2 linked regions of the Rhinolophus ferrumequinum genome follow. The protein of the gene in region 1 purifies or fractionates together with the protein of each later gene. This does not show direct contact. Links are inferred from orthologs where the notes say so. Each region holds a gene or a part of one and is shown on either strand. Other genes may lie near its edges. The genes, in order: ASIC1 and PICK1.

Evidence for each region.
Region 2: the proteins of ASIC1 (region 1) and PICK1 purify together in Homo sapiens (affinity purification with western blotting; 3 studies listed by BioGRID and IntAct, with this or other methods). This does not show direct contact. The link is inferred for Rhinolophus ferrumequinum from reciprocal best matches to the Homo sapiens genes ASIC1 and PICK1.

The regions. Positions count from the first base shown.
Region 1 is NC_046293.1:50,867,781-50,882,898, reverse strand, and holds the start of ASIC1 (acid-sensing ion channel 1), read right to left. Parts: upstream 4,678-15,118; 5' UTR 4,531-4,677; coding exon 3,874-4,530; intron 2,648-3,873; exon of another isoform or gene 2,558-2,647; intron 1,565-2,557; coding exon 1,414-1,564; intron 796-1,413; coding exon 668-795; intron 382-667; coding exon 228-381; intron 1-227. UniProt on the Homo sapiens protein: Forms voltage-independent, pH-gated trimeric sodium channels that act as postsynaptic excitatory receptors in the nervous system, playing a crucial role in regulating synaptic plasticity, learning, and memory.
Region 2 is NC_046293.1:8,942,178-8,957,063, forward strand, and holds the start of PICK1 (PRKCA-binding protein), read right to left. Parts: upstream 7,264-14,886; 5' UTR 7,041-7,263; exon of another isoform or gene 6,944-7,040; intron 6,806-6,943; 5' UTR 6,749-6,805; coding exon 6,708-6,748; intron 5,600-6,707; coding exon 5,488-5,599; intron 3,433-5,487; coding exon 3,304-3,432; intron 1,025-3,303; coding exon 958-1,024; intron 1-957. UniProt on the Homo sapiens protein: Probable adapter protein that bind to and organize the subcellular localization of a variety of membrane proteins containing some PDZ recognition sequence.

The sequences.
Region 1 (15,118 bases):
GTCTGTCCCGGAGGTGACCCACGCCACAGTCCACCCCTCCTGGACCCTTCCCATCCATCCCTATGGGTACAGGCGGGAATTGAGGTCAGAGACACAAGAGCCATATGGGGAGGGAATGGGGCTAGAAGTGGGGTAGTGAGAAGCCAGCTGGTCCCGCTTCCATGCTGGCAGGAGGCGGATATGCATGCGGGGCATGGAGGCCTGCGTTGAGAGCTGTGGAGCCTGACCTGGCATGTGCACCATGCGGCAGTTACAGTTCTCCACCAGGTAGCGGGTCTCACAGTCGATGCGGCAGGCGGTGATGCTGTAGGAGTCGAAGAAATCCGAGTCCATGGTAACAGCTTTGCAGGTGCCCCAGGGCGGGGGCAAGTAGATGAGCTGCTGGGAGAGCCGGAGAGCTGGGGGGTGTGGGGACTTCTCCCCAAGTCACCTTGATGGACTTCTCTGACAAGATACAGAGCTCAGGAGTCCTGCCCCCTCTCCCTCCGCTGCCTCCGAGGGTCTCAGAGTTTAGAGAGCATTACAGTTCATTAGACAATTAATGCTTCTGACTAGTCAGGTCACTATCCAGGCCCTCGATCACTGGTCCCTCCCATTGGTGATTCCCCACACCCCATCTGGAGCCCTCAACACCCCACCCTGGGACCACCTCCTGTGGTTTGCTCACCCGCTGCTCCTGGCAGGCCACAAAGGTCTGGAACCCTGGGGCCACGCCAAAGCCCAGCTGGTCGATGAAGGGCGGTTCGTCCTGACTGTGGATCTGCACTTTGATGCCCGCTTCAAAGGACGTCTCGTCTGTGGGAAGGAGGGGGGTGTGTGTTGGGAGGGCTTCTGACTCCCGAACCTCCTTCAGAGCCGGGGACATCCTGCCTCTCCTGGGAATAAGCACAACATACACTGGGACTGGGGACCCAGCCCATCCGCAGCTTCCTTCTGGGTTCACCAGTCCCGTGCTGCCCTGACGAGCCCCGCAGCCTACACACTTCTTTCCTTACCTGGCTTCAGCTATGCGTCTTGCTGTTTCAAATTCTTTTTCACTGTCTCAGAGGTTCTCCATTTCTCCCCCTCCTTTTCTCCCTTCTCCCCCATCTCTCTCTGCCCCAAGGCCCCTGAGACCAGACAGACAGCAAGCAGCTCAAGAAGAGAAGGAGTTATTTATAGAGCGAGGGGCGGCCAGGGATGGAAAGGGATGGCTGGTTACCTTGGTGAGTAACTGAGCCAAGAAGGGGAAGCCAGAGATATGTGAGTGTGGCAGTCAGGTAGAATCGGAGATGGAGATGGTGAAATGCTGGGAGGGAAGGAGGAGAGCCCAAGCCCTGCCTCAGGTCCTACAGTGGATGGAGCCCAGGAGTCCCCTGGTGGAGGCTGAGGCCCAGAGCCTTGGGGAATGGTCCCCTGAGAGAGGTGACATACCAGTCTCCCCCCATACAGGCAGGTACTCGTCCTGCTGGATGTCTAGCATGATCTCCAGCCCATTGCCCGTTCCACCCTTCATGGTCTTCAGCCGTGGACGCCCATCTCGGCCTGAGTTGAACGTGTAGCACTTTCCATACCGTGTGAAGACCTGGCAGGGGCAGAGTGAAGAGCCTAAGAGGCCTGCCAGCACCCCCTACCCACCAAGATCTGTCCCAGGCCGCCCCCCAGTTGCTGGAATCACAACAGCCTTTAGGATTGTGACTGATTGCACCTGTGCAGCCCTTTCTCATTTGTCCTCCTTCCCACCCATCCTCTGCCCTGCTGTGTGCGCTGGAAAGCTGATCCCGGTGGGGTGCATTTCCTGTGCTCCTTTGCCACCTAGACAGGCTTCCAGTTGGGTTTGGTCACTGGGAGGGATTAGTAAGGAATAAAAGGGTAGAAGGAGAGAGAGGTCAGGGCACTTCTTCTCTCCCACCCTGTGCACCTCTGAGAGTGTTCTGGCCGTGCCTTAGACCTTCTGTGATGACAAATCCTGCCGGGAGGGCTCCCTGCATAGCCCATCGCCATTTTGTGCTCCTTCTACCTATGTGTGACAATTTCCCTCTACTGGTGGGTGCCTCAGGCCCCCTTATTGGTTTCCTTAACTCTGCCCACAGTTCTGTAAACAGTCCCTTTGTTCAGTTCTTTTCAGTTGAACTGAGTTGCAATCTTTTTCCTGCTGGGACCCTGACATATACACCTCCATCACCAGGATCCCATCACTGCCATACCCCTGGATTTTACCCCAGGCATCTGAAATCCTGTTCTGCCCAAGACCCCCCTCCAAACCAAGCTAAGCGTTTTAGTTGCCTCTAGCCATCACTGTCCTTCAGTGTCCCATTATCACCAGAACCTGAAAGTGGACCCAGTTGCCATACCAAGGACTATGTTCACTCAAGCACCAGCACCTCTTCCCTCAGCAGTTGGTCGTTTGGTATTGAGCACCCAGGGCATGGCATGTTTGGCAATGCTTGCACAGGCCTGTCAGGGCCTCAGAAGAGAGCGCCACCCTGGGGGCAGCCTCCCCACCCCATGCCCCAGAGCAGCCTTTATCGCCACAGAGAGAAGAGTGAACCAGTTCTTTATGGCCCTTTCTCCACAGCTTCCCTGAATGTCTCCAGGTTCCCGCAAGCGAGATGAGTGTGTTTTACTCCTGCGGGATGGCGACCAAGTCCACACAGCTGGTCATAAGGTGAGACACAACCCAGAGAAAGAGATAGAGTATCAGCCCAGACTGGAGCAGCAGGGGGCGTGGGGTTTACTAGGAAATAGAGTCCTTGCTTCCTTCCCTCTTTCTAGAACAGCCTCCTCCTCCCCCCTCCAGAAAAGAAAACACACTCTCCCCCATTTTGTGGGTGAGGTCCAGAGATGAGGTAGAGAGAGAACTCCAATGGCTCTAACTCCCCAGTCCCACTACCAGGGTTTTGTGGCACTCAGCCACAGGCTCCAGGCTGGACAAACACATTCTTGCCTACCCTCCATCTGGGCATGTGAGGGATTCCAGGCGGCTGAGGCATGCTCGGAGCTCCAGCCTTGCCCTGGCTCAGAGGACTGTGTTGCTGGCTGCTGGACTGCTGCTGCCATCTCGTGGTTCTGGCTGAGAAGTGTCTGCTCTACCCTTAGATACAGAGGAAGCCAGGTTGATCCTTTCCTCTTCCTGTATCTCCTAGCCTGTCTGAGGTCCAGTGGCCAAAACCTCCAGGTTCCCTGTCTGTCTTAAGTCAGTCCTGAAGGACAGGTGCGTGGGGAAGGAAGGCCTGACATCTGGCACCTGGAGAGGGCAGGAGAGGAATTAAGCCAGACAGACCGGAAGCTGAACCAGGGAGATGATGGGGTGCCACGTGGTCCCTCAGTGAGGATGCAATGACGTCCCTGCTGTAGGAGCTGCTGACCAGGGGTGTGGCGGGGTGGAGATGGGAACTGACCGCACCCCTCTACCTCCCGTCCACACTCTTCTCCTGTACCTCCAGAGACCAGGTGGCACCTGCCCCAGCTCCAGTCCAGGGATGATGGTCAAAACTGTTAAGGCTGGCACAGGCACCCACCATCAGATCAGAGGCTGACCTCAGAGGTGGAGCAAGGTCCAGGGCCTGCCTGGATCACAGGGAGGTCTGGACATGCTAGAGAGTATTCAGGGAGACACCAGGGGAGCAACTAATTACCAGCTAGTACAGATGTATTTCAAAATGCTAAAAAGAAGAGCAAGACGGGTTCAGACCCAGGAATAGCAGCCCAGCTCCAGACCCTGGGGCTCCTAGGTAAGCCCTGGCCTCTCTGAGGCATGTCACAGAGGGTGAGTGGTCCAGATGAGTTGGGGGAGGGGCAGGACCCACCAGCCCCAGACCCAGGAAGTCACGGTCAGGGTGAGCCATGGCAGACATTCTGGGGGTGCCGTGCCAGGCATGGGCCCCCACTCACCACCGAGAAGTTATGAGGGCCGCAGGGCCCCCCGCGGTAGGAGCAATAGAGCAGCATATCTTCCAGCCGGTGGCAGGAACGATTATAGAAGCGGTGCAGGTTAAAGGGCTCCCCAGAGAAGGCCTCGGGCCCTGGGGGGGCGAGGGGCACCCCGGGGTCATCACTTTCGTCCAGCCCCAGCATGGGGGCCAGGTAGAGCAAGTCGGGGTAGCTGAGCTGGGACAGCCGCACGGCATTGGTGTTGCAGAAGGTGACCGCTGGGAAGGCCAGCTCTGTGGTGGCCACCTCGTCTAGCAGAGTCACGTGCGGGTAGCTGAGGTAATAGGCAACGCGGTCTCCTACCTGACACAGGAAGGCACCCAGTGCCAGGACAAAGGCCACTGCCCACAGGGCCTGCCTCGGCCCTGGACCCCCCTCCACGAAGACGTGGTTGGCACCATGAAGGGTGCAGCTGCTGGCAAAGGCCACCAAGTCCATGGGCAAATCCCCCTCTCTGGCCTCCTTCCTCGCTGCCTCCTTTTCTTTCTCTTCTTCTTCCTCTTCCGTTTCTGAGTTTTCCCGCTGCTGCTGCTGGTGGGGACCCCAAACATCTCCCAAGGGCCCTGGGGCCTCCTTTCCAGAGGAGAATGACACAGAGCAGAAGATATGGATGGGCATCTTCTCCAGGGGCCTCCTGGCACCAGGGGATTGGCAGGAGAAAGGGAAGGAGAGGTGATCCCAGCAGGCTCCAGCAGGGCCAGCCACCCAACCCTTCTGCCAGGTCTCTGCCACCCACCCGGCTGGCTGTGTCCTTCCTCACCAGGGCCTCTGTGGCAGTGTGGCGGAGGCGGGGCAGGGCGGGGCGGGGCCTGGAGAGGAGGACAGCCTGCCCTGCAGGGAGGGCGGTGTCTGGGCCGATGAATAATTGATGGCAGTGGGAAAGGGAGGCTGATGGGGAGGAGGGGGGCCGGAGCCCCTTTCCTGTCTCCAGCTCCAGCAGGAAGGAGAGGGTTGAAGACAGAGTGGAACCCCTAGAAAAGCCTAGGGATTCTTGGTACCCACCTCCCCAGGTGGGACCCAGCAAAGTCCTTTGCTCCTCCTCTGAGGTATCTGAGCCCCCACACTCTGGGCACTGTCTCAGACCTCTGACTCCTCTCTCATTCCCCCGCCTCATGATTCCCCCAATTATTTCAGTGACCCTCCAATTCTCCCAATATCCCCTTAGACCCCAGTTCCCCTCTAATTATTCCTTTGATTTTCAGTTTCCTTCTAATCACTGTCCTGACCCCAGTTTACTCTCAGTTACTTCCTGAACCCCTAATTCCCCTGCAGTAAGTCCCTGGACTTCCAATTCACCTCTAGCCAGTCCCTGACCCCATTTCTATTCTCCACACTCCCCTGACCCATCTTTACTTCACCCTCCCCCCATGCAGGGCTTCATTTAGGTCACTATCCCCTCCCCCACTCCCTTCTGTGGCTTGGGGGGCAGCCCAGGTTCCATTAGCACAGGTCTCTCACTGACCACAGACTCACTTATGCTCTGTTCCCGGCACTGGGGGGAAGGACCCCTATCTCTTGCAGCTGAAAAGCTTCTTGGCAGATTACCGCTCCGCCTTCCAGCTTGCCCACCCCCCACCTCAGTCCAGGAGAGGAGTTCAAGGAATTCTGTTCTGGTGGGTGGAAGAAACTGAGATCAGAGCAGAGACAGGGTCCTGGGTCAGGTGGAGAATGTTGGGAACCAACCCGGGGAGCCCCCAAATCCTCAGCCTCACACACATCCCAGCCCCTCAGGCTCTGAGGCGTCCCTTACCCTCAATTTATCATTCCCTGCCCCCAGACCCCTGGCCCCTCTGTGGGCTCTGATTACTCAGGGCCACTGGTTGAGGAACTTGAGCCACCAGCAAAGTCTCCAGGGCCTAGAAGGTGACCTGAGGGGAGGAGAGAAAGGGAGGGAGGGAGGTGAAGCATGTTAACCCTTCCTCTGCGGGTCCAGTGGGGGTCAGACCAGTCTACTTTGGCTTTCCGCTCTGTAACCATCCCACAGCCCCTGGTCCCATTTCCCCCCTCCTTCTCTCCCGTCCCTCCCTGCTCCCATATATCTTCCCTTCTCCATTTGCCTGCAGAGACCCTGGGGTGTGTAGGGAATGGAAGGCAGGGTGCCAGGTTCTAGCAGAACTGACTGATGTGGGACCTTTGGCCCCAACTTTGCTGCCAAGGACACAGAGGCCCCAGAGAAGAGCAGCCTTTGAGATCTGGCCCCTCTCCATCCTTATGCCATTGCCCTCAGACGGGCCTCCTCGTCTGCCTAAACAGCCTTTCAATTGGTCTCCCCAACCTCCGGAACCTCCCTGCCGCTTCTCCCCACCTTCAGTCCATGACATGTAATGCTTCCCATTCTCCTGTTGAAAGAGCTTTTCTCACTGCCCAGTGCCTCTTGGGAAAATTCAGCCCCCATCCCACAGGCCTTTGTAACTTCCCTTCCAGTCTCACCTCGCCTTCATTCCAGTCCAATGTCCGGACACCATTCCCTTCTCCCATTCCGCAGACACACGAGGCTTATCCATAGTGTCATGCCTTCCCTGGACTCCATCTGGAGAACTTCTACTCATTTTTCAAGACCCTACTCACACATTCCCTCTTCCAAGAAGACTTCCGTGACCCCGTAGGGCACAGGTAGAGCCCACCCAGGGAACAGACTAACAGGTCCAGTTCTGCTCAAGGTCCTTCAGGCAGGAGTAGTGACCAGTAGCGCCTTGAGGACAGGGACCGTGAGAATGAAAGAGCAGGACCCAAAGACCACGAGGAGAAACAGGAACCGAGAAAGACCAGGGCCACCTAGGGCAACCAGAGATAAGTCACTGCAGAGGTGAAGAGAGACCCTCACCTGCAGCTGTTGTTCTCAGGCTTCTCCTGCATGAATTCATAGGTTCCTTTTCTGTTTTCTGTGCCACGTACATTTTCATCCTGCCTACCAGACCTCAGCTGTCAGAGGGCTTTGCATGGCCTCAGGATGTGTTTCAGACGTGAGTTCCCCACGCGGATTGGGGGTGGGGCCAGCCGAGGTTGAGTCTTGGACTGAGGCAGCTGCAGCTGCCCATGCATTCCACACCCACTAGAGGGCACTGTCCCTGTCCTCCAGACTTCCTGGCAGGGGAAGTCGATTGGACTTCCAGAAGGAAGACACAAGGCAGGGGCAGCTTCCAGTCTGGGGCCTCACCAGAGAGAAGGGCCTGCACACACAGAACAGCTTCAGAGGACAGCAGATCTGGCACGGCTGGACGCTTCTCCCTCACACCACCGCAAAGACCCACACCACACATCTACTCGTCACTACACACAGACACGCAGCCCTCTTGCGGGGCAACAAACACACCAACGCAACACGTACCCTAACTTCCGCCTCCGTCGTCTAACATTCGGTCCTACCTCAGTTCGTCCCAGTAGACAGATCCAAACTTTTCACAGTAATGGGGAGAGGTGGAAAGTATCAGGCAACACACACAGACCCCCAAGCATACACAGGGGGCCCCTGTGTATGACGTGGACAAGAACATTCATAGTAGCTTTATTTATAACAGCCCCAAACTAGTAACAACCCAAATGTCTAGCAAGAGTAGAATGGGTAAATAAATTGTGGTATATTTACATGAGATACTACACAGTGCTGAAAAAGAACTAACTACTGCAGCACACAACAGTGAGATTGCATCTCACAGACATAAGCAAAAAGACAGACACAAAAATGAATATACTATATGGAGGATACATATAGTCTAGGAAGTTCAAGAACAGGTCAAACGTATCTAGACTGACAAAAGTCAGAATAATGACGAACTCTCGTGCAGTCGTATTGACTCAGAAAGGGTCTGCAGGAAATTTCTGGGGTGCTGGAAATCTTTTACGCTTTTATAGCAATGTAAATACATACCAATGTAATATGTAAAACGTTAAATTATAAGATACACTAATATAAAAATATACTAATGAAAAATTAATCAAGTTATACCATTAAATCATACCCTCACAATTTAAAAGATGAAGAAGGCTTCGGATTGAAACTTGAGTATTGCCAACATTTCATGGCCAAGTAGAATAGAATGAACTGGCAAAGAGACAGAGGAGTGGCTAGACAAAGAAAGAAAATCAGAAGAGTATGATTGTCAGGAGAGGAATGGTCCAGAAAAGAGGTGGTGGTCAACCATTCTGAATATTATTGGGAGATCAAGGACAAAAAAAAAGTTTGCAAGATTTGGCAACACAGGGGTCACTAGTGGCCTTAGCGAGAACCATTTTGGTGGCGTGCTGGGGGTAGGGAAGCATGCCGTCTCGAGTGGCTTAGAGAATGAGTTAAAGATGAAAACTGGGAAGACGGGAATATATACATTTCGAGGAATATACAGTGGAATATACATTTCAAGAATTTTGTCTGTGAAAGGAAGTGGAGAGAGAGGGTGAGAGTTGGGGCTGGGGTGTGCTGTGGAGTTTAGACATTTGTAATTTTGTTTCTATCTTAATCTAAAGCCTGATACACAGTAAGTGCTCAATAAATGTTAGCTGTCATTACAGCTGTATAAAGATGGGAGAATCTTAAGCATGTTTCAATGTCAATGGGAAGGATCCACCCGAAAGGGAGAAACTGACAGGAGAGGAGAGAGAGAGGCAGAATCTTTAGGGTGAAATTCCTGGAAAGATAGAAGGAGATCAGATGGAAAGAATAGGTTGAGATTTCAGCCTAGAGAAGATGGATGTTCCCCTCTGGGGACTGCTTCCCAGAGGAAGGGGAGATGTTCTCGAGGCTGCTATCTTCCCTGTGAAGTAGGAGGCAAGGTTATCTGCTGAAGGTGAGAAGAGGGCTGGAAGGGTGCCTATTTGAGAAGAGTGGAGAAGTTTGCAATAATCATTGGGGAGAGCAAGTTGACCAGGAAAACACAGTGGGGTTGCCAGGCAGCCCTGCAGACCCGGTTAAGGATGTTGGTCATACACGCAATGTGATTCCAAGCTGGCCTGTTGTGTGACTTCCTCTGGTAGAGCCCTGGAGCCACCCTGAGGAAAGCCGGAGGTGGTTCCATCTAAGGTTGGGACATGTCCAAATGGTGCAGTGAAAAGGGAGAGGAGTCAAAAGACTTGGTGTCCTCAACCTGAAGCTGGGATTCCTTCTCCTTTGCACGCTTTCTTTCCCTTCCTGCCTCACCACACTGCTTCTTTACAGAGCACAGGCAGTGGGGGAGCCTGGAGCTTTCTCCACCACACGCCACGCTCTCGCTCCTATAGTCATGCACAAAGAACCTGAACGTCGAAGATCTGAAGTCAAGGTCCCACCCTGTCATTTACTGACTGTGTAACCTCAGACAAGTCACCTAATACCTCTGAGACTCAGTTTCCTCATGTTTCAAATGAAGATATTAAAGTCTTCCTGCCTCCCAGAATTATGAGGATCACATGAGCTAAAGTAAAGGGAATTTGTAAATTGCAAAGCGCGCCCCTGAGAGAGATGATTGATTTCGCTGCTATGTGCTCTGCATGCGACCAGAGGTTCCCCGCACACAGGCTCCCTCCCACAGCCACACAAAGCAGGCTGCGTGCCCATGCGCACGTCACACACGTCCACTTCACACCCTAGTCTGCACCCACATTTTCCCACTCAGATGGGCACACAGGTGCACATGTGTGCTTGCACACGTGGGGCACACATGCAGTGAGTGTGTCACGACGGAGTCTGAGTTGGCTGCTGTCCATGGTCAAAGCCACTGCAGCAGTCTCTCCCCTAGGGACATTCTCAGCCTGACACGATGATGCGACACACCAATTAGACACACATACACACACACACACTCTACGCAGCCCAACCTCCCAGGTCCCCAGGACTGTCAGCCACATCCAGGGGGTGCAAATGAGACGGGGTTGGGGTGGGAAAGGGTTTTCTTTCCAAGAACTATAAGAGCTCAAAAAAATCACAACATCCCCTCCCTCTCCCTTGGGAATGGTCTTGGAAAGGCTGGGGGCGGGGGGGGGAGGGGACAGAGTTCTTAAGGAATACACAGCAGTTTCAGGTTCATTTTTAAATTTCTCTGTGAGGAAGATGTCTGATCCATGTGTCCTGGACAGCCAGGACGGCACATCCATCCTACACGTGGGCCGGGATGGGCTCAGCCAGTCCCTGAGGCTGAAGCAGGGGCTGCCCCTTGGCAAATAATAATTTAACAATCCACTTAGAGCCCCCTTTCTTCACAGGAAATTGGGCCTACAAGCTCTGAAATGGAGCAGATGGAACTATGTCCAAAATAGAACCCAGGAGTCCCAACACCCAGCCTCATCCTCCACCTAAGCTAGGCACCACTTCTCATTCTTGCAGCGTTCTCCCCAGTTTTGCCTCCCAGAATCCCTATGCAGGGGTCCTGACTGGAAGGTTCTCAGCCAGAGGGTCGAAAGAGGCTCCCGGAGGGGCTACCTCAAACACATAGTGAGGGAAGGCTTGTGTCGGGGGGCCTGGCCAAAGGCAGGCAATGACCCTCGCTGAAAAGGACTCGGCTGATCATCCGCTGGGGAAGGCTGGGGTGAGGGACACACCACACGTTCTACAAAACTGGACTTTCTGAATAGCTGAGCTGGCTGGGGAGATTGCAGGGACTCTACTCAGATGTCGAGAGTCCTCTCAGCCCTGGCACCATACTCCTTGCTCCAAAGGCTTTTGTTAGCACCACCCACCCTCTCAGCTCTGCCCTCACTCTAAGCTCTCTGAAGGCAGGGACAGGGTGTGTCTGTTCACCACCCGCTCTGGCACCCAGCATGTGCCTGGCGCTTAGAAGGGGTTCTGTTTGTGACTGGAATGAATCAAGTGGAGCTTGACAGGCCTAACCCCAGCTCCTCCTTCCTAAAAGACACCTTTCCTCCCCCCTCCCCCAGAAGTCAAACTGCCTTCCACAAAAATCAAAGCATGCTCAGAAGCAACCCTCACCCACAGCAGAACCTCTTGCCCTCTTTGCAAGCCTCTCCTCTGCTTCCTGGACACAAACCAGATGCAAAGGGCCATACCTTCCAGTTCCCCACAGGCCAGGGCAGGAGAAAGGCCCAAGGCAAGGAGGTGTTCCTCCTGCCCACCCCTCCACTTCCGGCTCTGTCCCCAGAGGCACTTAGTTACTTACATCAATTCCCTATTACTTTAGCCAACAGCCAGGAGATCAATTAAGTTAGAGTAGCCTCTTAGCTGACTGCAGTCTGGGAGAGGGGTGGAGTCAGAAATGGCAGGGGAGGAAGAGGGCAAGGAGATGAAAGAGGAAACTGTTACCCAAAGGGGTGTGTGTGTGTAGGAAAGAGAGAGCCCACCCTCGGGTCCTCTGGATTCTTGCTACTGGCTCTACTTCAGTATCCTCCCTCCAACATCAGGCTCTTCTCAGCGAGAGAGAGAAGGGAAGGATGGGAACGAGGCTGGAGGAGGTATCCAGGAACCCCCAGGGCAGGAGTGCCCCTCCTCCGAACTTAACCTCTCACGGCAGGCTCTCCTTTCCCTCAGCAATCTGTGCATGTTCCCCTTTCGGCATCCCTACTCCCTCCCCACTGCACCCAGGAGGACTCCTGGGCCTCTGGGTGGGGTTGCCCGTGCCCCCCTTCCTCTCTGTGTGGCAGTCCAGGCAGCCTTTGCCCTCAACAGTCCCCTTACTCCCTACCTAGCTGGAGGGAACAGACCCAGGTAGTAATGTTGGGCCCTCCTCAGTGACTCCTGCTCTGGGCTGCTATGGTGGGGTGTATGGGTGTGAGGGGTATGGATAAGGGGCAGAGCTAACGCTGGGGATAAGCAAGCTTCCTGCTAGTCCTGGCTCTCTCGGGGACATGCCATCCCAGGCTCTGCTTGTCTTCAGATGACCTCTCCCTCCCTGTCTGGGTCCCAGAACAACCCACCTACACCCGCCTCTTATATCAGCATCTCGCCGCCCTAGACGCTCCAGAAGATTCCTGTCCCCCAAAACCTCAGAGGGATTTCGGTATCCACCCCTCATCCCACCTCTCCTCTGGGGGTCCTGGGGGACTCCTATGGGCCCCTCAGGGATTCCTGTCCCCCCCATCCTGGTTCCCCAGTTCCACACCCTTCCGAGGGAGAATACTAGCCCCACTGCACACCCATCCTCAGGATTCCCAGTCTCTGCCCTCCCCTTTCTTCTCTTCCAGGGTCCAGAAATGAATATCTGCTTCTCTCTCCCCCAGGCAGAAGCTCTGGGTGTCAGCTGGAGGAGGAGGTGGCATAGGGCAGACTGGGCAACCATCTGCCAGCCCCCTCCCCTCGGTGCCTTTCAGCATTCCAGCCACATTGGCACTGCCACTGCCAGGGACAGATAAGGTGCAGCTGGAGGCTGACACCAGCTGCAACTGTGCTCAGTCCCTCCAAACCCCACAAGACACCAGCAGACAGCTGCACCCCCGGGGGGCCCCTTCATGGAACCTCTGCCCTGCCTTGGACTGACTGGCCTTGAGGTGCGGGGTGGGGGGGGAGAGTGGAGCCTTGGACCCTGTTTCCCCACCAGGAAGGAAAAGCGGTGGCCAGGGAGGACGGGGCCTTCTGTGTAGGTCTCTGGTTGCTCTTTTGGTAGTTCAGGAGAAAGCTCTGAGGCCTCACCAACTGGGGTGCTGGGGGGATGCTCTCCCCATTGCCCTCTGCCTCTTCAGTTGCAAAGTTTTCAACCAATTCCTCCCAGATTTAGCCTATTTCCCCCTATTCACCCCCACTCTCGCAGGCTGACTTAGCCACAGCTGGGGGATGCACCCACCAAACACCTTTGACCACCAGACTACCCTTGAAGTTGAGCTGGACTCAGAAGCACATCGGGGGGTGCTTGTCACTGCAGACCCCCACCAGGAGGGTTGGGTCTGTGACAGACCAGAGTGTACCATTCCAATGTCCCCTCCAGAAGCACACACACAACCTCACACACACCTTCAAAGCACCCTCCCATACAACCTCTCACAGGTTGGAAGAGGGTTGCCCTTGGAAACCTGTGTAAGACTTCCCACGTGCCTGTGCACACTGTATTTTGCAAACACTCTGAGACAGGGCTTTGACCCCCAGTTAAGAACCTCTGCTCATGAGGTGGCAGAAAGTGCCAAGATGGTCTCCCCTAAGCTCTGACCAGATAGACAGATGTTTTCTGTCAGTGCCACATCTGTCCAGGGGCTAGACACACACCTTTTGGTGTAGCAGAGGATGGCAAGGATGGAGACCCAGGAGAGGAGAGAGAAGGTGGAGGGAGCATCAGCCACGGGGTGTCTGCACCCCGTAGGACCAGGGAGCTGGAGGGGCGTGCCAGAGCCCTTCTTTTCCACTAGGGAGATGTCAGACGTGGACTCACAGCCAAACTCCCATCCATGCGTGTAGGAACATCCCTAAGGGCAGAAGTGGTAGAGTTCCTGACATGGAAAGGGTCTGGTCAATCAGAGAGGGTAGAAGGAGGGGCAGAGACGTTTGGTTCCAGCCAGATTTGGGGTCAGGTGTTTGACATGGGCTCAGACACAGCAAAAACCTGTCTTCTCTGCCAACCCATAACCAAGAAGTGCCAGTGTGGGCCGGTAGGTTCCTAGCCTGTATATCTTTTACCCCAGCAAGAGGAAGAACTCAGATTTGCTCCAGAACTTTCTGAACCAATCATATTTCCATCTAACTGCTTAGAATTGTCCCCTCAGACAACACAGACCAGTCAGTCACATTTCAGTATCTCCATTTCCATGAACCACTTGGAATCTTCGCATCACCACTTGGAATCTTTCTGGACACGAGGGACAAATGGAGCAACTGAACATTTTCTATGGACGAACTACATCCCCATTTTATACTTTAGCACCTTCCCAGCTTGAGCCAAGCAATTCCTTCCCTTCTCCAAACACTACAAACCATCAAACACTACAAACCAAGTTCATAAGTTTTCTCTGTCTTTCTTGGTGGCTCCTTCTGCTTGTACGTTGGGTAGGTTGGAGAGGAGGGCTCTGGCTTTCAGTGCCACCTTTACCTACAGTTCTACTACTCGTGGGAGCACAGCTGGTGAGTCTGGGAACCCTTTGGTCTCAGGTTCTGGGGAATCCAGGACTCTCCTGTTTTGAGGAAGGAAAAACGGGAAGAAAGTGGTCCTTGCATCACACTAAGTTCCCCATCAGCTTGGCTCAGCAAGACGTGTGTTCATGTAACCTTTGTCTGGTAGATTTGACAAAGGCCCATGAAACTGGTCCACATAGCAGGACTTAAAAAGATTAGGAAGTCTTATTTATGTAAACTGAGTAGGAAAAAACATGCATGACCATGGCTCCAACCTTTCTACACAAACAAATACAGTTCATGCTCCCGTATGCTAGGAGGAAGCACGCAAGTAGGGGAGAAAATGGGCAGGGAGAAAAGGGAGGCTCTGAGAGTGGGGAATTGAGGGCAAGCATGGAGAGCAAGGAGGTCCTAGGGGAGACGGGGTTTTCAAAGAGCAATAGCCAGAATTGGAAGGGGACACGATGACTCCAGGGTCAGCAGTATTAATGAAAAGAGCACACTGCATTGGGACTTAACGAGACATGTTCTAATCCTGAATCTGTCACTAACTGGTTATGTGAGCTCAGGGCAACTCTTTCTCCTCTCTGTGTCTCAGTCAGTGTATTTGTAAAATAGAGACAGCATGGCTATTTATCCAGGGGATTGAAAGGGAGGCTAGAAAGCATTCTGAAGAGTTACGAGCATTGTCCTCTCATTTGGTATTATTTTTTATACATGGCTCCAGGTCCTCTGGTCCCTTTGTAGCCTCTGTGTGATTCTAACCCCTCAGGAACCTGTATGATTTGCCCAGAATCACCTGGAGCATGAGGTGCCAGTCAGCTTCCCTAACCCTTTCTGAGGTTCTGGCTTTGAGACAGCCCCATCTGTGGGGGTGGTGTCTGTGGGGCATCTCCATTTTAAGAAGTAAAGGGAGCCTCCAGTTCAGTCAAGATTGTGCACCCCAGATCCTTCTCCTTCCTCAGATCCTGGCTCTGTGGCTCTTGCTGGCAAGGGGGTAACCCAACTGGACAGTGTATGTGTGTGCGCGTGCGGCACAGAGAATCACCTGTCTAGCTATTTAAGAGAAAGCGTCCCTTCTCATATTTCACAGTGCTTCTCAAACTTTAATTTGAATCACCTAGAGATTTGTTAAAATGCAGATTCTGATTCAGTAGGTGGAGTGGTGACGTCTGCATTTCTTTCAAGCTCCCAGGTGATGGTCCTCAGATCTCATTTGAGTAACAAGTCTGCCACTTACCCACCACCACC
Region 2 (14,886 bases), about 42 Mb from region 1:
AGAGCCCAGACGCCACAGGCTCGACACCGGAGCAGGTAAACCAGGGAGCATCTCTTCCCTGCCTCTCTTCCACATCAGACCTGGGGCGCCCGGTACAAGGCGGGCAGAGTAGCCATCAATGGCAGCTCCCCTTGGACCCCAGGCTCAGTTATTGTACATGTGGTTGCATACTTAGTCTTAGGAGGGGCACTGGGGTGGGACCAAGGGGTTTTAGATGAAGAACCCCAGAAAAGACTCAGTCTGCCCTTGGCCTCTTTCCTTGAAAACCAGGAGGTAGCTATGGCCTTGGGTATCGGAAAAGGATACCTGACTCGGCCTGGAGATCTCCCTGTGTGTTCCCCTGGGGACACAGAGCCCTCTCGGGGTCCCAGGCCTTGTGTGTGTAATGAGATGGCTGGTCCAGGGCACCTCTACCGCTGTCCAGCTCAAGTCTTCAAGTTTCCACAGAACCAAGGCCCAGCCCCTACAGCAGCAGGCACCTTGTCCCAGGGCATGCTGGGGAGAGGGGCAGGCCTGTGACCCTCTGCCGAAGGCCCGAGGTCCAGTTCAGACCTCGAGATTTCCTGGGAGGTGCTAGGTGAGAGAAGGGGCCCAGGTGGAGTGCAGGTGAGCCCGAGGTGCTGGGCCAGGGTACTTCCAGTCAGAAGGTGAGTACCTGGGCTCTGGTAAGCTGAAGGGCTGGCTTACAAAGGACAACGCTAGGACAGTAAGGTCCCAGAGGAAAGGGCCGGGAGAAGGTGCGGGGTGAAACCAGAGACAGGTCCCTAGGAACAGCTGCAGGGACGGCACCCCCGGGTCGTCCCCCCACTCTCCCCTGCTCCTCCGCCCTGTAGATTGGCTTGGTCACAAAAGCCAGAGAGCACAGCCACGAAACTACTAACGCACTGTCATCAAGAGGCAGACCAGGAGCTGTGGGCTCGTGGAGCCACTGCACGCCACCGTTCTGGCCCAGCTTACCAATGTCCAGGGACATGCCCTGCTTGGGGTCCGCCTGCAGCTTGTTGTAGTGGATAGTCACCTCCCCCTGGAAAAGCAGGACAGGCAGAGGTGAGATGAAATCTCCTGGACAACCAGCCCCTTTCCCAGGGAAGCCTGGGAGCCCTGGAATCCGTGGTCGTGAGAGAATTCTGAGCTCCAGGAAGGGGCCAGAGCATGATGAATTCAGCCCTGTCGGGCTGAGGACTGTGACAGGGTCCTGCGCTGTGGCTGGTCGTTCCCAGGTCCCGAGGCCGTGGGGAATCAACAGGGACAAGGGCAGACACGGACCCTGCTGTCCCAGAGCTCACAGCCTGGCAGTCTCTGAGGTCCTGTGCTCCAGCCACATCAAGTCCCCTGCCCTCCCCCACGCCACGCCGCACTCCAAACCTTTGCTACGTCATTTGTCCCCACATAGAGCATCTTCTCCTGCACCCCAAATCATCCCCTTCCTCAGGGTCCCTGCGCTCACTCAGCGAACAGGTCTGAGCACTTTCGCGGTGCCAGGCGCTGGGATGCCAAGGAGCAGGAGCAGGGCCCTGGGCCCAGGCCAGGAGGGCCCACGCGGACCAGCAAGCCCCACCGTCGAGCCCTGGTAGTGACTGGAAGACAGGTGCCGGCTTCTCCCAAGAAGCCTTCCCTGACCACGTGAGGCCACTACGGTCACTCTGTCCTTGCAATCCTAAGACCCTTTAACTTGGGACCGAATCCATTCGAATACAAGACAGGATCTCAAAATGGAGTCCTGAAGGGAAATCAAAATGACCGATGTGGTCAGAGTCAGGGGTGGACGCAGGAGGCTCCCTCGGGAGGCAGCACATGAGCTGGGGACCCCCACAGATAGTAGTTGACGGGGGAAGGGAAGAGGCACCACAGCAGGGGTCAGCCCTGGGTGCCTGTCCAGCTGTGCGACCACAAGCAAAGCCCTTCAGCTGCCTCGGGGCACCAGCGAAACAGGGACAATATCCCTGCTTGGCACCCAAACAGGAGTGCGGGGAGATCCCTATGTCAATGTCAAGGCTGTGCATACCCACGAGGAACTCCTGTCCGTAAGGGAAACGCCAGGGGCTGGCGCGAGGCAGGACAGGGAGGGTCCTGATGAGCAGCGAGGTGAGGGGGCCCGGGGAGGACCCAGAAGGGCGCGCACCCCAGTTCTGAACCAGAATAAAAAACACTGCCCACCCCTTTCCATGATGGGCTCCTCCACCCAACAGGTCCAGTAAAACCCAGACCAGGTGGAGTGGCGTCTGGGCCCTAAACGAATGCTATCGTTTCCTTTTATACAACAGAGCCCTGGGCCCCCATCTGTCCCACGGCTAAGGGGCTGGAGCAGGAGAAACTATGGGATTGGACTCTGCGCCCTAAAGGCAGGAGGGAGAGTGATGGGGTGACGCAGGGGTGGAACAGGATAGTAAAGGGGAGAAGGCGGGGAAGGCGCTGGCCCTGGGCTAAGGCCGGAAAGAGGGGCTGGTGGCATCAGGTCTTCAAGACACAGAAGATGGAGCGGCAGTGAGGCGAGATTTGGATGGAGGGGCTGAGGTTCGCTACAACGCTTGGCCAGGCTCCACTTCCCGCTGGGACCCTTGACTCTCAGACTTTTAAATTATACTACTTTGCAACTCCTTCACTATATTGGTTTCCCAAGAGTTACTAGCAGCAAATCTCTGGGAAATGACAAAACGGCTGCACGCTTGTGCCTATGAGGGGCCGGGATGCCACCTATGATGTGGGAGCGGCCTTGGCCTGGAGCCGCTGGGTGGGGAGGCAGGGAACAGGTAGCGCGTGACTGTGATTTACAGAGCAGAAGACCAGCAGCTGTACCGGGAGCTGCCCCAGAGTCAAGAGGCCTTCCTGGGGGTCTGTGAGTCCAGGGGGACCCACTGGACTGGAAGTTCCTACAGGGATGGGCAAGACGCGCTCCTCTTTCCTTCTCGCCCCCTCCAAGGCCCAGCATGGCTCAGCTGACATCTAGTAGGTATCTATGACCCAGGTAAGTTCACCTTGGACTTCTAGCTTCAGGTCCAGGCCTAACTGGAGATACACTGGCTCTCCCTGAGGCATGGTTCCGAGTCTGACAGTTTACCTGAGAGCCTGAGGACAGGGACCTTTTAGTCTTGGCGCCTACTCTCTGGCCAAGGCTCAGCACGAGGCCTGGAGCATAATTAATATCTACTGAACAAAAGCAGGAGAAAGTGAGGGAGGCTGGGGAGTGAGCCAGACCCTCACGCTCTGTGGAGGGGAGCCTCAGGCCTGCTGGGGCCTCGGGCAGGTGGGAGGTCTCAGAAGTGGCTTTCCTGACTCAAGGTCCTCACCCCCCGCAGTCCTTACCTTCACTTCCTGAATCATCTTCGCTACCTCCACCTTAGTTTTTCCTTTGATTGACCTGCCATTGACACCAGTGATCTCATCGCCAGCTGCCACAGTGCCGTCCAGGGCTGCCGGGGTGTTGTCAAATACCTGGGGGTGCATAAGGAGGGCAGCGTGGGGGAGGAAAGGGAGAACTGAGACACACCTGGCAGGAGACAGTCCTTCCCTCCACCCCAACCAACATCCGGCTCTGTCCTGGCCACTACCCAGAGCAGGGTAGAGATGCCCGAGCAGACAAAATGCATCGCCCCACATTCTTAGGGAGGCGGAGAGAAGGAAGACAGAAGGTAAATGCAAACTGATGAGGCTTTCCTTTTCTAATGTCAAATACACCAAACCTCACACATCCATCTGAGCGTTTGCTCCTCCAAAGTCATTTCTTTAATAGATTTGACCAACAATGCTGTTCTGAGCTGAGTGATTCTGATTTAGCCAAAAATGACAAAATAACTACATTGGGAAGATGTGGTATGAAGAAGCAGAGTGGTTTTGGAAGGGCAAGGCTAAGCAGGAACATGGCAAGGAGGCCAGGCCTGGGGGAGGTCTCCCTGACACCTCCTGGGCTGGAAGAGGCCAAATCACTCGTGAAGGCAGCACCCTGAGCAGCCAAGACTAGGTTCCAGGAATCTCCATCTTCGAGGCCTGGAAGCGACTCCTTTGCAAGATCTTCAGAGACCAAAATTTCCCATCTGCCACCAACAGCTACTTAGCTGTTAGAACAGGTCAGAACAGGGTAGAAACCAGGTCAAGTCTGAGCATACTAGGTCAGACAATTAAGTTCACGAACTCATCCTATAAAAAGTGCTACATATCTCATTGCTGAATATCACTACCGTCACCTTCAAAGTACTCCCCTTGGGAAGCTATGGACTCCAGTGCCTAGTCCACCCTCCAAAGCAATTTTGGAACTCTATTTCTGGAATGGACTTCAGAGCTGTCGTCGTATTACCCTTGAGGTCCTAAATGTCATCAAAATGTCTTCTTTTCAATATTTCCTTTATCTTCGGGTAAAGAAAGAAGTCACTGGGGGCCAGATCAGGTGAGTAGGGAGGGTGTTCCAATACAGTTATTTGTTTACTGGCTAAAAACTCCCTCACAGACAGTGCCGTGTGAGCTAGTGCATTGTTGTGATGCAAGAGCCATGAATTGTTGGTGAAAAGTTCAGGTTGTCTAACTTTTTCACACAGGCTTTCCACCACTTCCAAATAGTAAACTTGGTTACTGTCCAGTTGGTGCAAATTCATAATAAATAATCCCTCTGATATCAAAGAAGGTTAGTAACGTCACTGCAACAAGTTCACGAACTTAATTGTCACACCTCGGATGTCCAAGGTGGCAAGCTTCCTTCCAAGGCTACAGAAAGGTCACTGCCTGTCTCTACTCCTGAGTCCCAGCTGACAGAATATCACCAGTGCAGCTTCCTCTACAAGGGACCACAAAATTGTTCACTACCACCGGCAGTTCATCTGGGAAAGTGAACAACTGCCATAAAAGTAGTAGCAGCTACTATTTAACGAGTGCTTATTAAGTACCGGGCATTGTGTCATGTCATTTTGTTAATCTTCATAACAACCCAAAGATGCTCATATCTACATATTTTATATCCCCACTTTCCAGGTGAGGAAACTGAGGCCCAGGGAGGGGTAAGTAACTTGCTAATAAGCAGGGAAGCTTACATTTGAACTCAGGCCAATATTATTTCAGTCTTTTAGTTTTTCCACTACACTTCACTTGTGCTAGTACCAAAAGCTGGTGGTTTGTTGATTCATTAAAGATATTTTTCTTGAAGTCCTAGTCTATGTCAGGCATTATACTAGGTACTGATAAAAAAGCAACCTGGGATCCTGCCCCAGGCACAAAGAATCTGAAAAAGCAGCTAGATATAAAACAACTAAAGAGCAAACCCATGATTACAGGTGGTGATAAGGACCGAGAAGAAAAAGAAAATACTGGAATAACAAAGAAAAACCAGGGCAGCCCTACTGAGAAGGGGTGGTCAGGAAGCCCTCTCTTAGGAGGTCAGACCTCAAGAATGAAAAGGAGCCAGCTCTGCAGAGTAGAGAAAGGAGCTCTTGTGTCATGGCCAAGTAGGGAGGTGGCTTGCTCTCTCCAGGACCTCACCCCCACCTCCAAAGCACCCAATACCTGGACAATGTAGAGGCAGGGACAGTACTGGGCCCCTCCTCCAATACTGATCCCAATCAGGTTCTGAGCATCCTTCTGCAGGGTCACCTTCCCGGGCACGGTAGGGATTCCACTGGAAAGAGAAGCACAAGAGGCTGAGTCCCCCGGAGGAAGGATGACTGGCGAGGATTGGGAAGGGGACGGGCCCTCTAAAACCCCAAGAGGCTCCAAATGCTGCACAGCCTTTTCTCTTTCTCATTTGGCCAGAGAGACAGCATTTTGTGCTGGAATGTGCACAGCTCTTGGAGTCACACAGACGTGGGCCCTCCTCCCAGCTCTGCCATTAATCAACTACGGGACTTGGGTAAGTCAACTTCTTTGCAGCTCAGTCTCCTCATCCATAAAATCATATGGAAAAAATGGCTACTTCATCAAAGTTATTGTAAGAAGTGCCTAGAAGGCACTTACCAACAACCCAGCCCATATCAAGCACTCCGTAAAAATAGGTCCCCCTTCCTTTACTTCATTCTACCTCTGAGGTTTAAGTCAGACTCTGTCCTTGTCACCTTCTCAGGCACATATGGAATGTTACGTCCACCTCCTCTGGGAAATCTTCTCCTGCTAAACTATCCAACACCTATCTCTCAATTGCCCTACTCAATCACCTCTCAATTTTTACTATAAATTAGCACTTACTTATGTTTTGTGGTAAATATTCTAATTCATTCACTTTCTCACAAACATTTGCTAACAACCTACTTGCGGTCAAGCACCTTATAAAGTGCTGAGAACACAAAAAGGCATTGGACCCAGTCCTTGCTCTGAAGGAGAATATATTCTAATGAGATTAACTTAATTTTTGAAAACGTGTCCCACCAATCGTCTACAGTGGGGAGGACAGTATGTTTACGACGTTTCTATTCATTCTTTGAAACCTGGCTCAATTGCCACCTCCTCGGTGAAGCCTTCCCTGAACATCCCTACATAGGCTGCATCTGCTCTGCTCTCCTTGTAGCCAGGTGATTCTCCATTAAGGCCCTATGATCCTGAATTGTAGTTATCTGTTGATGTGTCCACAGTCCCCTACAGATGGTGAGCTCCTGGAAGGGAAGGGTCGGTTCTGCTACACTACAAGACCTAATCCACAGCTGAAAAACAAGGGTCGGTGCAACTGGCAAGCCTGGGGTCTGGGGAACTTGGGGCGCCTACACTTTTGGGACTTGGGGGAACAAAATACTCACAGTTTATCCTCTTCGATATCATAATCCAAATCTGCAAACATGGTTCGGAGAGTTGAAGTGGGCTGGCTAACTGCCCAGTTCCGCAGGGGAATAGGGAGCTGGATCCGGGAGAGAAAGGAGCATAGGATTTAGGGAACCCAAGTGCCAAGATGTCAACCCCAACCCTGGCGATCCAGACCCTCCCACTCCCCTCTGGACCGTGGGTAATCCCTGTCGAGTGGCTAGGTGATTCTTACTAGGAATAGGGGGGGACTCCAGGCCAGGGCGCTGGGTTCAGATCCCAGATCTCTCCCCCGGGTCTTCAGGCACTTGGAGGCTGCCTCTGTCGCTCACCGGAAGCGTCGGTCCACAGCCGCGTCCCAGCCAGGCTGGCACCTGTACCCACCTGCCGTTCCACCTGTCGGCGGCCGTGACTGTCGCGTCACTTCCGGCCGGACACGGAAGTCCCGCCTTCCCCCCCGGGTATTTACCCCAGTCCCTGCAAGCAACTCTTCCCTCCCTGGCTCCCGGGACTCCCAGAACCAGGAAAGAGAACAAGTATTGACGGAAGCTCGCCGTTAGCATGAGAAAGCGGAAACAGAGGAAAGGTCTGGACAGTCTGACAGCGCTCAACCCCACCCCTTGTCCTGTGGCTGCCGCCATATTCATAAGGGCAAGGTTCTTCCCAGATTCCTCAGCGGGAAGCTGAGGACCACTGGCCCGGTGGTTGCCGTGGCAACGGAAGCATCCTGGGTGGGGAAACTTCCGGCGAAGTCCAATGGCCTACAAACCCTTCCACATTTTCCGCACTCTGTCCTAGGGTATTACCATTAATAGAATGACATGTCGGAGCCAGCGTAACCCCATTTTTGCAGACCAGGAAACTAAGTGCCAGAGAGGGAAAGGGATTCTGTCCGGAGCCACCTGCAGTTGGTACAAGATCCAGATCTTGACTTTGAGACTCTGACACCTAATCCAGTGCCCTTTTAACACCTGCATACCTATGTTCACAGATCTGCTATTAACGACACATTGGACAAGTTACCTCCTCTTTACATGCCTGCTTTCCCCATATGCAATCTAAGAGTATTGAGGTAGGGATGCTTTCTCTGGTATTTGGTGAAAGATTCCTCAACCCATGTCCTTTGTTAGCCCTCAGGAGCAGCTCCTCTGGGGTCTCACTGAGGGCCAGGAAATGCCATCAGTGCTTCACGGCCCAGGAGTTCGAATCTCGTCTCCCTGCCAGCCTCTGCAGCCACTGCTACTGTGCAAAGCGGGTTCCCTAAAGGGGGTTGGTGCTCACAGAGCCACAGCCTTGGCATCGATCTTGTCCAGGGAGCATGGGCCCAGGCCTGTCCAGCTTCCTTCCCTAGCTGCCCCGGGGGCTTTGGAGGAAGGAGAGAATCACAAAAATGATTATCTGCATATCCCATAGCCTAATGCGATCCCCACCACCTCCTCCTTAGGGAGTTAATCTGAGTCACAGCAGATGTTCAGAATGCCACAATAACAAAAACTGTCCCACGTACCCTGAACTGCTTTGCAGTTCAGATCACTTCCATGGGATTTTAAAGTTCACCGCAGCCCTGTGAGAGGAGAACAAGTATTGTCAGCTCCACTCTGCAGGTAAGGACCCTGAGGCTCAGGGAAACAGCTTCCCCTTGTGTCACAGGTGGCCCTAGGCAGAGCTAGGGCTGGAACCTCCAAACCCTGTTTGCAGGCCAGAGTTTCGGTTTTAAAAAGCAGCAGCCTCCAGACCCAGATACTTTCACATGGGCTGTGGCTCTCCCACCACACAATAGCTCTAGCTCAAGCCCGGACATTGCCATTTTGTAGCTGGGGGATCTTGGGCAAGTCACTGCATGACTCTGAGCTTTGGGTATCTGTAAACCGGGGACAGTGATCCTCTCCACAGGTACTTGTGAAGGTCAAGATAAAAAGGAGAAACAGGTGCGAGTGCTTTGTAAAGAATTCACATGGCACAGATTCACTCCGCCCTCTTGACCCCAACCTACTCAGGACCCTCTTCTCAGGTGAGGGCAAGATGCCCAGACCCCTCTTGTTTGCTTTATCTTCTCTCTCTTCCTACCCAGCTCTATCTAATCCACCTCTTCTGGGGAGTTTTACCAGACGATCCCAGCTCACAAAGCTGCCCCTTTTTCTGAGCTCCTAAAATAGTTGTTATTTAGATTGTTCACTTGAAAATTACTTTTGTATTGCCTTGGGAAATCCTGCCTGGCTTCTTTGAGCCATTAACTATTACATGCTTGTATTTTGTCTGGGGAAGCTTTTTCTCCTTTAAAATTAGGACCTAGGGCTCATATCTTGACAAATTGTGAACTGCTTCTCCCTGTCTATCCGGACTTTATACTCCCTGGCATTCACACCTTCCATAGGACGCTAAGAATCCATCAATAAGTGTCACTGTGACAAGAAAAAGAAAATCAGATTGCTTTGTAACGCCTGTTAGAGTGAAGTATTATGACCCACTTTATGTTTGTCAGTGGAGCGGGGTCTCCTGGGTCAGCTCACAGAGCATGGAACCTGTTCCAGCCAATTAAGGGGGTGAGGTTGGGACCATGAATTTATTTGAGGGGAAAGAAAGTTGGAGTACCATGTTCCATCACCAAAGTAATCAATTCTTGTATCCCCAGCTGGACAGGAAGCGCCTGGGGGCAGGTCTTGCCATTCTCTGCATCTTGCACACACCTGGAGCACAATACCTGGCTGTGGATGAAGTGCATAGAAATAGCTGTGGCTTTATATGAGATGGGACGGTCCCTCAGCCCTGGAGGAGAGGACATGGATGGGCAGAGAGGGAACGAGATGATGAGGGCCTGAACCTGGACAATGGCAGTGGCCTGAGCTTCCCCCATGGGGCTGGAATCACCAAGTATAGGTCCTGAATTTTGGAATTTCAGTTTTCAGCAAACAGCAACCTCCAACCTAGGAGTTTTAACATAGCCTGCAGCTCTGCCACCCCAGGACGACCCCAGACCAAATCCGAGCTCTGCTAATTTGTAGCTGGGGGATGTTGGGCCAATTGCCCTTTTCCTCTGAGCCTCAGGTATGTGCAGAATGGGGATGATGCCTCCCAAGATAGGAGTTATAAAGACGGAACTAAAAGAGAAAAGCGAGTCTGAAAGTGCTTTGTGAGCGATTCACTTGGCACAGATGTCAGAGGTTTTTATTGTCATTCCTCACTGTAATCATTTTGCCTGACTGCTTCAGAGGGCTGGGCGTAGGACACACCTAAAGGGCCATTGGATGCTCAGGCGCCTGCATCAGACTCATCTGGGAAGCGTCTTACGTGCAGATTCCTGGGCTCTGTCGCAAACCTATTGGATCCATCTCTGGGGAAGGAGGATTTTCACAAAGCTCCATGGGCCATTTCGTTGCTAACTGCAGCGGACGGCTGTCTCAGAGGCTCAGGATGTACAGTGTCTGTGCAGCCGGTGGGCCTGTTCCTCCTGAGGGTGAGGCCTCTGGTGCCAAGAATCCTTGCTCCAAAGTCCTCACATTAGGAGGAGCCAAAGGCCTGGGAAGGCTTCCTGGAGGATGCGACCTCTCAGCTGAGTCCTGAGGAAGGTGTACCCAAGGCAGGTGACACAGGCAGACGGCACAGGTGGTGCGGGCAGTGGAGGTTACAAGGAACAGTCCCTGTGCTCAGGAAGTCACTGTGGTGGGGTGAGGGGGACTGAAACAGACAGTAGGAGCAGTGACAGGGGTGATGAGGTCACTAAGTCCAAGTGAAAACTTGGGGAGAACCGTTATTTCTGCCAGAGTCACAGGTGAGAGGGGTCAACAAGGGCCTCAGAGGGGAGGTTTGAGCACCTGCTTCAAGATGGGTAGGATTGCAAGGGTTGAAATGGGGGCGAGGACATCCACCCACTTCCAGGAGGCTGAGCCAGGACTAGTCCTCAGACCCTCTCTGTCCAAGATTGCGCCTCCTCCTTCTCCCCTGCTCCGCTTTTGAGTCTACCCAGGCAGCCGGGTGACCTCTCACCTGGCCTAACCCTACCACTGAAAGCTGTGTGACCCCAATCTCTCTTGGGCCTGGGTCCCCTGCAAGATTCCGCCCCTCAGTTCCCAAACCTCAGGTTCAATCTGGAAAAGCTTGCCCCCCCAATCCAATATTCCTGGGGATGTGCTGCCACCCAGTGGCCATCAGGAGAAACACCCCCGGGGCACCAGAGTGGCAGGAGAGTTCCCCCCACCTGTCCACTCCTGTCCTTGTCACCGCCCAGCCCTGCTCAGGCTTTGTAGCCTGTAGGCGATGGATGAGGCTGGCTGTACGTGTGCCATGCTGTGTTGGACATGCGTACCCTCAGCACTGCTGTGGCCCCAGCACAGGGCCTGACTCACACTGACTTTGCAGACTCCTGTAAAGGGCAAGAAACGAGGGGTTAGTGGGTGCTGTTCAGCTGAGATACATAAGGCATGGGTTTTAAAATCGAACAGATAGTGACACAAATACCAGCAGCCAACACTTACTGGGCATTTACTGTGCATTGGGCCCCTTGCCAAGGTGCTTCCATTCATTGTCTCATGCGAACCTCACCACAGCCCTTTTAAGTGAGGTTAGTCATTCACCTATATATTCATTCATTCATTCATTCATTCATTCATTCGATAAATTGTATTAATACCTACTACGTCTAGGCTGACATTTCGGGGAACAAGAAAAGCAAGGTCCCACCCTGACATGAGTGGACACAGCAGTCCCTAAAACTAGGTAACACCTCCCACTTCAGTGCATTGGGCGAGGCCCCAAATCTAAAGGGGAGCCCAGTGGGAAAGGGTGCCAATGTGGACTTGTGGGGAGTTGGTGGTGGGCTGGACAGAGCATTGGCTGAGACCAGCTGTGTGACCACAGAAATGTCACTTGACCTCTCTGAGCGGTGGTCTCCACGGCAAAATGGCTCTCATAAGAGACCAAGTGTTGGTTTTAAAGTTAAGTCAGACCATGGCACTCCCCTGCTCGACCCCCTCCAAAGTCTTCCCATTACACGTGGAACAAACCCTGGGTCCTCACCTAGAGATGGAGGCCTGGCTCCTCCAGCATGTCGCCTACTCTTCCTTCCTGTTCACTTTCTGTTCAAGGGCCTCTGGCCTCTTGCTGTTCCTGGAACAGGCTGGAATATTTCCACTTCTGGGCCTTTCCTCTTACAGGTCCCTCTGCCTGGAATGTTCTTCCCCCAGGCATGCTGACTCCCTCACTTTACCCTCACCACTACTCACATGTTACCTTGTCAGGGAAGCCCTCCTGAGCACCCAGCTCAAGTACAGACCTGGCTCGTCTCTGTCAGGACCCCATTCATCCCCGCTGGGCTCATAGCACAGTTTGGGATGACGCATTTGTTTGCTTCTTAATCAGCTGCTTGGCTGTCTCCCCACCAGACTGCAAGTTCCCTGGGGGCAGGATCCTGGCCTGTTCAGGTCACACCGCTATTGCTAACACCTAGCATACCCCTAAGCTTGCGTACCTGGTTGGCACACACCTTTCTCTACCAGGCAGTAAAGTCCTTGATGTTGGGGTTGGGGGAAAGGAATGTGACAGAAGTCAGTGAAGAGCAGTGACAGCCGAAAGTCACACAGCAAGTCGCGGCCCTATGTACCCGGCCTGTAGGAATAGTCAGTGCCTTCCTATTGAGTGAACGAATAACCATGTCACCGAGCGCGGGAGCCCAGAGACTAGGCAGTGGTGGCGAGGCCCTCTGTCAGAATCCGGACTTGGCCTGGCACTGGGGAGCCACGGGAGACTGGCAGACAAGAGCCAGAGCAGCTGGATCTGTGCGTGGGCTGGAGCCCACTGGCTACCATAGCAGGTTGACCTGGGGGGCATTGTCCCTCCCTCCCTGAGTCTGCAGCAAGGGGAGTTAGCAGGGACAGGGCCGCTCGACTGGGAAGCTGGGGTTGGGAGGCAACAGGGAGCCTGGCTGGGTGGGTCAGCCCTGGGGTGGATGTGTCCGTGGGGCCAGATCCGCTAGGGATAGGAAAGCTTCTCCCACCTGGGCGGCAGTGGCTGACCAGGGGAAGGGGCACTGCGCAGAAGCATTTGCATCCTTCCAGAAGCCCACTTTCAGCTTTGATGGAGCCATGAACCTCATTGTCCTTGGGGTACTGGGCAGCTGTCCCCTCTATTCTCAACTGCCTCCTGGGCTGCCTCTGACCAGAGGTTGGATGTGGGCTTCCATGGGGCCCGAAGTCCCCCCAACGACCCCCAAAACTGCTCTATTCCTGGCTTTACTTGGCATATAATGGACTGACCCCTGACCTCCCCTCCCCCTCGCCTAGTGCTCTGCCCCCTGGGTTAGGTCAGTGATGAAAGCTGGTGGGAGCCCAGGGGGTTGGAGGGAGAGGGACAGTGCCTGATTGTTCCCTGCCCCTGGCGGCACGGCCACGCTGTCTGTGGAGTGACTGGCCCTTTGCTCTCTCATTCCTTCTGTCCCCTTTCCGCTCTTACTCTCACTCTCTGTCATTCTCCCTCTTTCTCTTTCTGTAGGTCAGGGGTTCTCCAACTCAAGTGGGACCTTAGTAACCATACAGATGCTGGGGCACCCCCAGAGATTAGGAATCAGCAGGTCCAGCATGGGGGCCCGTGGTTCAGACACGGGGCTGGGAAGCCTGGCAGGACGCTACATTGCCAGGAGCCTGGGACCAGAGACCTAAGACCCTGGGCATCGCTGGCCCTGCGCTTCCACTAAGTATGGAACGGACTCTTGGGATGCTCAGAGCCAAGCCAGCCTCACAGGAAATTACATGGGACACAGATGTGACTGTTTCTTCTTCCTCTTTCCCCTCTGCCCTGCCTCACCCTCACCTTCAATATCCATACGTGTCAGGCTCTGTTTTCTCCCATCGGTCCGGCTGTCCAGCTCGCACCAATGAATACCACACTGGCTCACTGCCTACAGCTTTAGGATAAGCCCTGATATCTGGCAGGGCACTGCCCCTCCCTCGTTCTTCAGGAGCCTCGGCTATTCTTAGTGCTTTGCCCTTTCTTGCTACTTTCAGAATCATCCTGACGAGCTCCACCAAAACCCTGTGTGTGTGTGTGTGTGGGGGGGGGGGTGATCAGGACTGAATTGAATCTAGAAATTAATTCGGGAATTTTTGTGACATTGAATCTCTCTATGCAAGTTAATGACTCTCTCTCTGCCTTTATTTAGGTCTCTCTTCTATGTTTTATTAAGGAAAATTTCGAGTGTACAAAATTAGAATGCAGCTCCTTTTACCCAACACCTAGCCTTACCAATTGTTCTTCATGCCCACTCTATTTTCAGCCGTAACCCTGTCCATTCCTGCCCATTCTCCCATCCCGGCCTTCATTATTTTGAAGCAAATCTTTGGGATCTTCTTTAACGTCTTCTAATAATATTTTTTGTCTTACCTTTCGTTTCCAAATAACTATAGATTGACAGGAAGTTATAACAACAGTACTGAGAGGGTCCATGTTCCCTTCACCCCATTTCCCTCAGTGGTGACATCTCACATCACCATGTACTTTACCAAAACCAGGAAATGGACATCAGTCCCATCCGCAGGTTAAAGGTGGCATTTTACATGCATTAATTCGTGCGCGCGTTGTGTTCCATGCAGTTTCATCACCTGTGCGGATTCAGAGAATCACCACCACAGTCAGATGCAGAAGTGTCCTACCTCGCGCTACTCATTGATAGAAACACCCACCTCCCTTCCCTCTCTGCTCCCCAATCCTCCAACCACCAATCGGTTCTCCATCTCTAGACTTTTGTCATTTTGAGAAGGTGACACGAACAAACCACACAGCATGTAACTTTTGGAGACAGGCTTTTTCCCTTCACACAGTTCCCTCAAGCTCCATCCAGGTTGTTGCGTGTATCAATAGTTCCTTTTCATTGCAGAATGAAACTCTGCATGTCCTAACCGACAGGCTTCTAGGTTTCCAGTTTTTGACTCTTACAGATAAAGTTGCCATGCACAATCGTGTACATATTTTTGTGTGGAAATGAATTTTTTATTTCTAACAAATGCCCAGAAGTGCTGTTGTTGAGTCACATGGTAAGTATATGTTTCATTTTTTAAGAAACTGCCAAACTATTTTCCGGAGTGGCTGTGTCTCAGTCACGTTTTATGCTTTCCTCTATAAATATTTTGTTAGATTCAATTTTTGTTAATATTGTAAATGGAGGATTTTTAAAAATTACACTTTGTTGCT